Linked DNA regions of Oryzias latipes. The protein of the gene in region 2 purifies or fractionates together with the protein of the main gene of each other region. This does not show direct contact. Links are inferred from orthologs where the notes say so. Each region holds a gene or a part of one and is shown on either strand. Other genes may lie near its edges. The genes, in order: txn and peroxiredoxin-1.

Evidence for each region.
Region 1: the proteins of peroxiredoxin-1 (region 2) and txn purify together in Homo sapiens (affinity purification with western blotting; 3 studies listed by BioGRID, with this or other methods). This does not show direct contact. The link is inferred for Oryzias latipes from reciprocal best matches to the Homo sapiens genes PRDX1 and TXN.

The regions. Positions count from the first base shown.
Region 1 is NC_019876.2:18,250,208-18,254,817, reverse strand, and holds the start of txn (thioredoxin), read left to right. Parts: upstream 1-1,691; 5' UTR 1,692-1,888; coding exon 1,889-1,912; intron 1,913-3,110; coding exon 3,111-3,215; intron 3,216-3,885; coding exon 3,886-3,951; intron 3,952-4,153; coding exon 4,154-4,219; intron 4,220-4,610. UniProt on the Homo sapiens protein: Participates in various redox reactions through the reversible oxidation of its active center dithiol to a disulfide and catalyzes dithiol-disulfide exchange reactions.
Region 2 is NC_019875.2:16,491,742-16,496,067, reverse strand, and holds the start of peroxiredoxin-1, read left to right. Parts: upstream 1-1,310; 5' UTR 1,311-1,435; intron 1,436-1,708; exon of another isoform or gene 1,709-1,770; intron 1,771-2,154; 5' UTR 2,155-2,165; coding exon 2,166-2,271; intron 2,272-2,366; coding exon 2,367-2,520; intron 2,521-2,607; coding exon 2,608-2,730; intron 2,731-4,326. UniProt on the Homo sapiens protein: Thiol-specific peroxidase that catalyzes the reduction of hydrogen peroxide and organic hydroperoxides to water and alcohols, respectively.

The DNA.
Region 1 (4,610 bases), on a different chromosome or scaffold from region 2:
ATGTTATAAACTGTGTACTTATTTTGCAATAACCTTCGATCCCACTAGAGAGCCCTATTGCATTGCAGATGAGCCAGAGACTGTACTTCTTCTGACTATTGTATTTGTGTTTTGTTAGGGCTGTACCAACTGAAGATGGTGGACACACAAGCATCCTGAAAGCCTCAAGAGGCTGATGGCGTGGTTCAAACAGGTAATGTGGAGCATCAATCAGGAATGAAAAGATTTCTGTGTCACTGCTATTAATTGTATACACACATGACGCCTCTGCAGGGAAAACTGCAATGTCGGGAGCACGTCACCAAAGGCTTTGAAAACATGCCAGCTGCTTTTAAGGGGATGCTGAAAGGAGACAACACTGGCAAAGCCGTTGTTGCTGTCTGATGGATGACCAATAAAGGTCTTTACACAATTAATGAAGGAGGATTTTACATATACTGCACTGAAAAATAACTACAAGATATGTATTGTCTTTTCAGTGTTTAGTGAATTAATTTTATTTTTAAAATACATATGTGTGAGATATGTCTGTATTTCTCAATAGAATGTAGTTTTATTTAAATTGTTTAGTATTTTTCTCTTTTTTTCCCGGACAAACGTAAATAAAAAGATTGTTTTCTTACAGCTGTGACACGGCTTCTACCTGAACGGGGAAAAAAATCCAAAAGTGACATTTGCTTGTTTTACAGCGACATAGATAAAACTGTAACCAGATATTGTTGTTTATTCTATAATAAAGGTTGTTTTTGGTCTTTATTGATGTATGCTGGTATTGCATGCATTGCCTAACTGATTTGAACTTGCATCATATTTTAAAGAATGGAATTATGCAAAGATACTTTTAAAAAATGTTTTAAGGTCTAAATTAGGCAATTCTTAGGCTTCAAATGAAGTTTCCTTATTTTTACGATAGAACCTGTTGGAACATTCACATATGTAGTCTAAATACTCAAATTCTTTATTCAAATATGTAAATGGAAAAACAAGTCTTTGTGTACCATCTTTTAGAATTAATCTTCTGATTAAATCACTTCCCTAAACTTATTCCAACCATGATCAAACTGCAATAATTTGTCTAAATATTGCAATTTTTTGTTATAGTATGGACTTTTCTGTTTATTGTTTACCCCTTACTTTAGTTGTAAAAGAATAAACAAATAAAGTCTTTTTAAGCTATTACGTAATAAGACTAGTGCAGGGGTGTGGCCTCATGGGCGTTGACCAGAGTTTGTACAAGGAAATATGGTCTGCAGTGACCATGTTTACGGTAGTACAGAAATTTGCCAAGTCATTGTGATTCGACTGTCTGATCAAGCGTTGACGGAATTAAAAACAAAAAAAGTATTTCAACTTACTATCGATATAATTCTCTAAAAGGACGCGTTATTGTTAGTAGATTAGTTTTGCAAGTTATTTTAAGCCGCAACGAAACAACAACGAAGCACTAACGGGCCTCAGATATATATAGCCTGACATCACCGATTCTGTAGTTTTTATTCTCAGTAAAGAGCTAAAATATTTGCAAGAATCCAGGAAAGGAAACCATTCTGTTTATAACTTTCAAAATAAAAGTATTTTTCGTGAAGCTTTACCAGTAATAACACAACTGCTGATACAACATGAAATCAAGTACGGTTACAACACATTTCATGCACAATCATAGTGGCAATGACGTATACACACGGCGTTCTTTTAATATAAATGATTCGCTTAAACATAAAAGACTGGCTTTTATTTTGTTAGTCAACCCATCAGCTCTTCCGCTGCGACGTGTTAGTCTGACGCCGTTATAAATAGGGCAGGTCATCCTCTTTGACTGAAAGTGTGGTCTTTGCGAAGCCGCTGTCTTTTAGATTCAGCGAGAGTTTGCCTTTTCAAAACAGCAAACATGGTCCGTGAAGTGGCTGATCTTGTAAGTAGTTCTATAAATACAATTAATCATGTCTTTATTTATTTCGCTGTACTACTACATACATTCAGGACAGCACAGTTGACGTTAGGTAGCCGCGCGGTTATTTTCTCAGCAAGCTTCTATCTACTTACCTTTTTTGCAAGAAAAAAAAACCCTGTTAAAGCATTTATTCGCTTAGAGTTAGCATGTTTATTGTCGTTGATGGAATAAATTACTCCGACAGAATAACTCTGGAGGCTGTATTGCTAATGTTTAGTTGTTTTTTCTTTTTTTCCATTTTCTACCCATGATGCACGAGGGCGGACTTTGCTATCTTGTTGCCGCGCGAACACGTTGCCAGGGTTACAAGTTTTCGGAAAGGTTTTACCGTTAACTAGATAAAAAATCTTTTAGTAATACACCAAAAAAACGTTCCTATCATGGCTCAGATGAGCAGAAAGCTACAATAAAGTACTAGTTTGAGTAAAAGTCAACTCCTATTTGCGACACTTGGACCATTCCGCTAGGCCTCGGGCCGCCTCTGTCCGTGTGTACACATGCCTGGATGTCAAAACTGCTGAAATCATTCAGACTTCTGGGTGTCACTGGTTGCGTCCGAATTCCTTCACTAATCACTACAAAGTGCACTGTGCGTTCGCCATTTTGTAGTGCTGTCCGATTCTACAATTCCAAAATCGAGTGCCCTGCAAATTTCCCAGAAATCTCCGCAAAAAAACAGTGTGCATCAATGCTCACTAGATCTGTGAATATAGATCACAATGCATGGCATCAAATCTATTTTTGCTTAAAAATGTATTTAAATGTACTTTCTGAACAACCTGTCAAGTGTTTTTATCTTCAGAAGACTGATAAATGATCCTCGCAAAATGCTCCTATCAATTAGATTTTAACTTCGTGAAATCGATGACGTCATATCCGCCGTAAATTAAAAAAAAAAGTAGTGGGCATGGTGTCCAAATTGCTTTTAAGTCGGTGCACTCTATAGTTTTTTTTAGAAGTTGGGGGTTAGGGTGGGAATTCAGATACAGCGACTGCTTTTGATCTGGGGCTGTTCTGCTAATCATTAGCCAAACCTTTGATAACCACTTATCGTTACACTATGGGAAAGCCTGCTGACAAAATGAAGTAATTTATTTAAACGAATTCTTTACCTTTATGCTTATTTAAAATAAATGATGGAAACATGCTTTTTTTGTAGGCAGAATTCAAGAAAATTCTGGAAGACGCTGGAGACAAGCTGGTGGTTGTGGACTTTACTGCATCATGGTGTGGGCCCTGCAAACAGATTGCCCCCTTGTACAAGGTAGATAACTGGAGCTTAAAGACTTGATCCGATGAAAATGTTTTTAACATGTTTTTGTGCCCATTTTCTGATAAAGGAGAACATGTATAAAGAAATTTAAGCTTAAAAATGCATTTCTGAGTACTTCTTTTTCTTATTGTGAATCAGTCACAGGCAAGAAAGGACAGTTTTGACAGAGCTTGTAGTTGTAATGTAGAAGCTACAATCTGCAGGCCACAAGCTCCCTGCTCCACTCCATACTGATGCCTCTACTTGCAGACAAATGGATCCATGTACGTCTTTGTTTTCCTCGTCTGAGCTGTCATCCGGCTCAAAACTGTATGCCTGATAGCTCCGATATTGCTCACCATTTTTGTTTCACCTGTAGTGTTAGGTTGGGGGTTTGATGGGCTTTAAGCTAGTCGGAGAGCTCGGAAGTTACAACCCCTCTCTGTCAACCGTCCCAACCAGCGAATAGAAACAGGGGGACCAATTGAAAACGGTGTTTAAATGTAGATGCATTGTTACTATGGCAACCCTATAAGGTTTACCTCCCCACTTCAAGGAGAGGAAGTGCTTGTTCACAGGAAATGGTCCAACACACACCCAGTATGATTTTTCAGTAAAAGTGCTCTGTTTCTGTAGAGTTGAGTCTAATGTACTGTTGTTGTATGTACTTGTTGTCTTGCAGCAAATGTCGGAAAGCGATGACAACAAGAATGTGGTTTTCCTGAAGGTGGATGTGGACGAGGCTGATGTGAGTGTGCACGTTCTCCTCCTTGGCCAGTACAAACTAGCTTTGTTTTAATGGGCAAAACCAGCTTTTGTTTTTAGTCTCTCTACTTTATGAAAGCGTTAGGTTGCAATTGGGGGCCAGCAACAATAATTACTTAATAATTGTATTTTTATTTTTTTTAATTTTGATTCATAAAAAAAAACTGTTGCTTTTTCTCTTTCAGGATATCAGCAGTTTCTGTGAAATTAAATGCATGCCTACATTCCACTTCTACAAGGGGGGCAAAAAGGTAAGTAACTGAGTGCAGTAGTTGAAAAGTTTATAACTTTTTACAGAGGTTCTGATGACTTCCTTTAAAAAAAGAGACCCTGTGTCACATGGGATCATTAAGAGAGTCTTACTGTATTTTTCAAACCATAAGGTTATCTTAAAATCCTTGTATTTGTAAAATACTATTTATAAATTGAGTGTACTTACTGCCCTCAAATTGATTTCCTTTGGTACATGGGGCCCAAAAATCTGCCAAAATGTTTTAGTTTGACTTGTGATGCGTCCCGTCTGTCAAATGTTGTGGAATGAGTTGAATGAAGTTTAAGTTTACTTTGTCTTTTTTGCTATTTAAAAGGAAAACCTCTTTGTCTTTCTTTAACCAGAGAGCCATGTGTGCCCTGGTTTAAGTG
Region 2 (4,326 bases):
ACATTAGCAGCATTTCAGCCCACCTTCACATCTGTGGGAAATTGTGTTTCAAAACTGCAGTGCTGACTGAAACCACAATGACAGCCCCACAAGTGTCCTTCAAACGTGTACGATCACACGCCCTCATTATGCAGACATTAGGATGAGAAAGGGGATGAATGCAGGCCAGCGTTTGATCACTGGCTCAGAGTGCTGCTTCTAAAGGGGGTTATTGTGTTTCTCCCTCCAGTCTGGTCCTTGAAGTAGCGCTATGGCAACAGCCTGCAAAGATGCAGCTTGATTATAGCTGAAGACGGAGGGATGCTTCTGCCATGACAGAGAAAATACACAGAAGAACTCTTTCCAACTTTATATACACTATTGTTTACTCTACTGTGTGTAGTCTTATTATTATTATTGTTTGACCTCCATTGAGTTGTTTCCCCCTTTTGAGATAATATCAATCATGAGATCTGTGGTCATATGAACATTAAGTTAGAGTAAATGAGATCAGCTTCTGGGCAAAACAGAGAAATCTGAACGTTAGCATTTCACAATTCATACGCATCATCGCTCTAGGTGTGAGAAAATCACTAAAAGTGAGGTATCTAAATAAAGAACTAGACATAGGTTAATCATTTGACAAGACTGAATGATTCACATGAAGAGCAACCACTTAAGGATTATGCAGATCTATTTTTGTTAAACAGAAGACATTTTGTTGTTTTTCTTTACCTTTTTTGCTTTTATTTAAGCGTTTAGGGCTTGTAATTAAACAACAAGAAACCTCTTTCTGTGCGAGACAGTGTGTACATTATGTGTTCTGTTCCTTCCAGTAAATATTACAGAGGAGAGGAAAGCAGGAAATGAAAAAGATAAATGACTTTGGCAGCAATCTGGATAAGCACACAGTGTTGCAATAAAGTGTTTGAAGGAAGGGAGTGAGATTTTCCAGAAACTGCTTAAGAAAATATAATATCGTTGGCAAGAGAAATGCAGCTTAAAATACCCTGGTTGAAATATAACGTCTACAAGACTTTTCCATACCGGGAGTTTTTTTGTAAGGGCATGGCCAAAGTAGAAAAAAAGGAGAGGAAGAGTTTAAGAAATATGGATAAACGAAATGTATACTTGACAAAAGTTATGAGAAAAATTGAGAAAGCTACCAAACGCTGTTTTTCCCCTCGTCTGTGTTTTTAAAACAAATTAATGGCTTCATAAACTAGAGATGTTAGAAAAAAAGAGGCATCTCTCTAGCTTCCTTTTCATGAAATAGCAGTTAAAAAGTGCAGAGTCATGCTGAATGCTTCATTTCTGGAAATAGGGATCAAGGAAAGGTTCTGTTCTTGTTCGGTCGATGTTATCGCGAGATTTCTGGGCTTTATAAAACCTCCTGATAGCGCACTCGAGCCCGCACGTTCGCTTCTGACAGTTGGTGTGGCGTGATCGCTAAGAGGTGAGTACCATAATGCCTTCATCTTACCACCCCCCCCCCCCCCTCTCGTTTACTTGTGTTTTTAAAGGTTTTTTTTTTTTTCATACAGTTAAACCCGGAAGTTTTCAGTTCAACAAGTGTCTGTTTATTTCCGTTCGGGATTTGATTTCGTGTGGAAAATCAAATAACCAGATTTTTTATAACTTTTATTTCCCCATATTATATTAAATGAATTGGGTCTTAAGACTAACACTTTTGGGCCTCTAAACGTTTTCTTTCTTTCTTTTTTTTAAGCGTTGTGGGGCGTGAAAACCTCTCTGTTCCCCAAAACGGGGCGATCTTCTTTCCCACCAAAAGTAAAACATTTAACTTTGTCTCCCACATGCGGAAATGTAAACTAAAAGAGGCGCTCGTAAGCTGTAATAAATACTAGTTTAAGTGGACACTGTCTAAATAACATTCCAACTCTTTTTCAAACCATTCTCTCATTTGACGCTTTTATTTTGAAAAACCCACTTCATTGATCCAGTTCATTATTTTGACTTTTGTATCATGTTCTTTCTAAATGTTGTTATATTTCACGTATCCAGTTGATTATGCATTACGTTAAAACTCTTAAAACTACTACTCTTACTACTTCCTCTTTCATGGATGCATAGATTCGTGCTTTTTGTCTGGCAAACGAGGAAGGCTTTTTTTTTTTTTTTTATTTAATCCCACTTCCTCCTTCTGTATTTCAGTAAGGACAAACATGGCAGCAGGAAAGGCAAAGATTGGAAGCCTGGCCCCAGACTTTACAGCTAAGGCTGTGATGCCTGACGGCCAGTTCAAAGACCTGAAGCTGTCAGATTATAGAGGTAAAAGCCTCAGTCTATCTTGTAAACAATAATTAAGGCAGCGCAAGAGCACTAATACCTTATATTTTATTTTTCCTGTTTCACTCTTCCTACAGGAAAGTATGTCGTTTTTTTCTTCTATCCTCTGGACTTCACCTTTGTGTGTCCCACTGAGATCATCGCCTTCAGCGACGCTGCTGACGACTTCAGGAAGATTGGCTGTGAAGTCATCGCTGCCTCTGTGGACTCTCACTTTTCTCATTTTGCATGGTACTTTCAGATTTTTAACATAATACCTTGTGCTTCAACTTTTGCAAATAGTTGAAATCAATTTTTCTTTTTGTTTTGGTTTGAAAGGACAAACACACCACGGAAACAAGGCGGTCTGGGTTCAATGAAGATCCCCCTGGTGTCTGACACGCGCCGCACCATTTCCACAGATTATGGGGTCCTGAAAGAAGATGAAGGCATTGCTTACAGGTGACACAACAGAGTTTTTTTTATTTTTTTCTATTTGCACATCCCTAAATTAGACCTTAAAGTGTGGATGCCATGCTTTGAACAACTTTGTCAAATAAAAAAGCCCTTTAAACGCTGATTCTATTGATACCAATAGTTCGCGTCGAAAAAAATCCGAAGCATATGAATAATAGACATCTTTCGAAGGAATCAGAGATTTGGATCTGCCGCTAGAGCGCAGGCTGGAAGTGAACCCGATATGACCTGTGACGTCATGAAAGGCGTTGATTTTCGCAGTTCCGCTTCGGACAGCATGTAAACAAAACCGGTAGTCTTCGTTTCTCTCGTGTTTAAATCTGTTAATCATCAACATGCCAAGTCGTTGTGTGGCAGCTGGATGTAGCAATACATCTACTGAAAGTGTATCTGTGTATAAAATTCCCAAACAAGAAACGCTGCTGAAAAGGGGAAAGTTCAAGAAGGTGGACGGCGAAGGATTTTTCCCTCCAGATCTGCAGGAGAGAAGTCTGCGTTTTCGAAGGGACAAAAACCGGGACACAAACGAAGAATTTTGAACGGAGAGTTGGGAGGAGGATCTTGGCTTCTGAGTCGAGGAAAGGCGGGTGAGCTGGAAGCGAGCGAGCCGTTTTCTGGGTCGGAGAGGACGGCGCTGGAGTCGGGAGCGGAGGCTGCTAAGCTAGTGTGCATCACGATGGATCACATTGAGGCGAAGTAGTCGTGTTTTCTGTTGTCCTTGGATCCAACTGGAGTATTTCAACGCACTCAATGTTTTGCAAGAGAAGCAACAGGCCTGCAACGTTTTTTTTCTTTTGCTTTTGAGGTGCCGGTACCATGAGTAAACTAAACTGTGTGTGTGTGAGCGCGCGCGCGCGCACGAGAAAAGGTTTCAAACGGGTTCAAACGGGTAAAACTGTTAATGTTCCACAGTTGTTAATGGTATACAGTGACTTTGTTAACTAAAGAGTAGTAATATCTGGGAAACTTTTATTTTGTGACATTTATTTTGTAAATTGGGTTGAAAACCAGTGTTTACCTTTGTTTAGATTAGGCCAAAAGGGGACATTTTGAGTATATTTTAGGGTAAGTGGAGTAATTTAATTTTATACATTTTTTAGACTTGCTGGAGTCTAGCCGAATCTTCATGCTGGCTATCGTCATGATCGGCATGATCACTAGACCTACTACTTTCTGCTATATCCTCCTCACTTTCGCAAAAGGGTTCGAATCGATACGGTTGCAAAAGTGACTCATCATCATGATAATCTCCGCAACTTTCCTCTTCATCTTTCTGTTCATCTGATGATAAATCGCTAATAGAGACGGTAGCATCACTCTGTGCTTCGCTATCGGTGCTAGCCATGTTGTCTGCCTTGTCTTCCTTTCGTTACGTCACAAACAGGGCGGCGCGAATTCGGCGGAATGCGTGAAGCCGGCGGCCGTCCTCGTTGTTTATATTGCGTTTTTCGCTATTTATTCTTTTTCGAAAAATATTAAAAACAATCGCAACATGAAATAGAAACTATTTACTATATTTTGGCTTATTAAAATAGGCCATGTCACCCACACTTTAAAGTTGACTTAAACCTGCAATTTTTT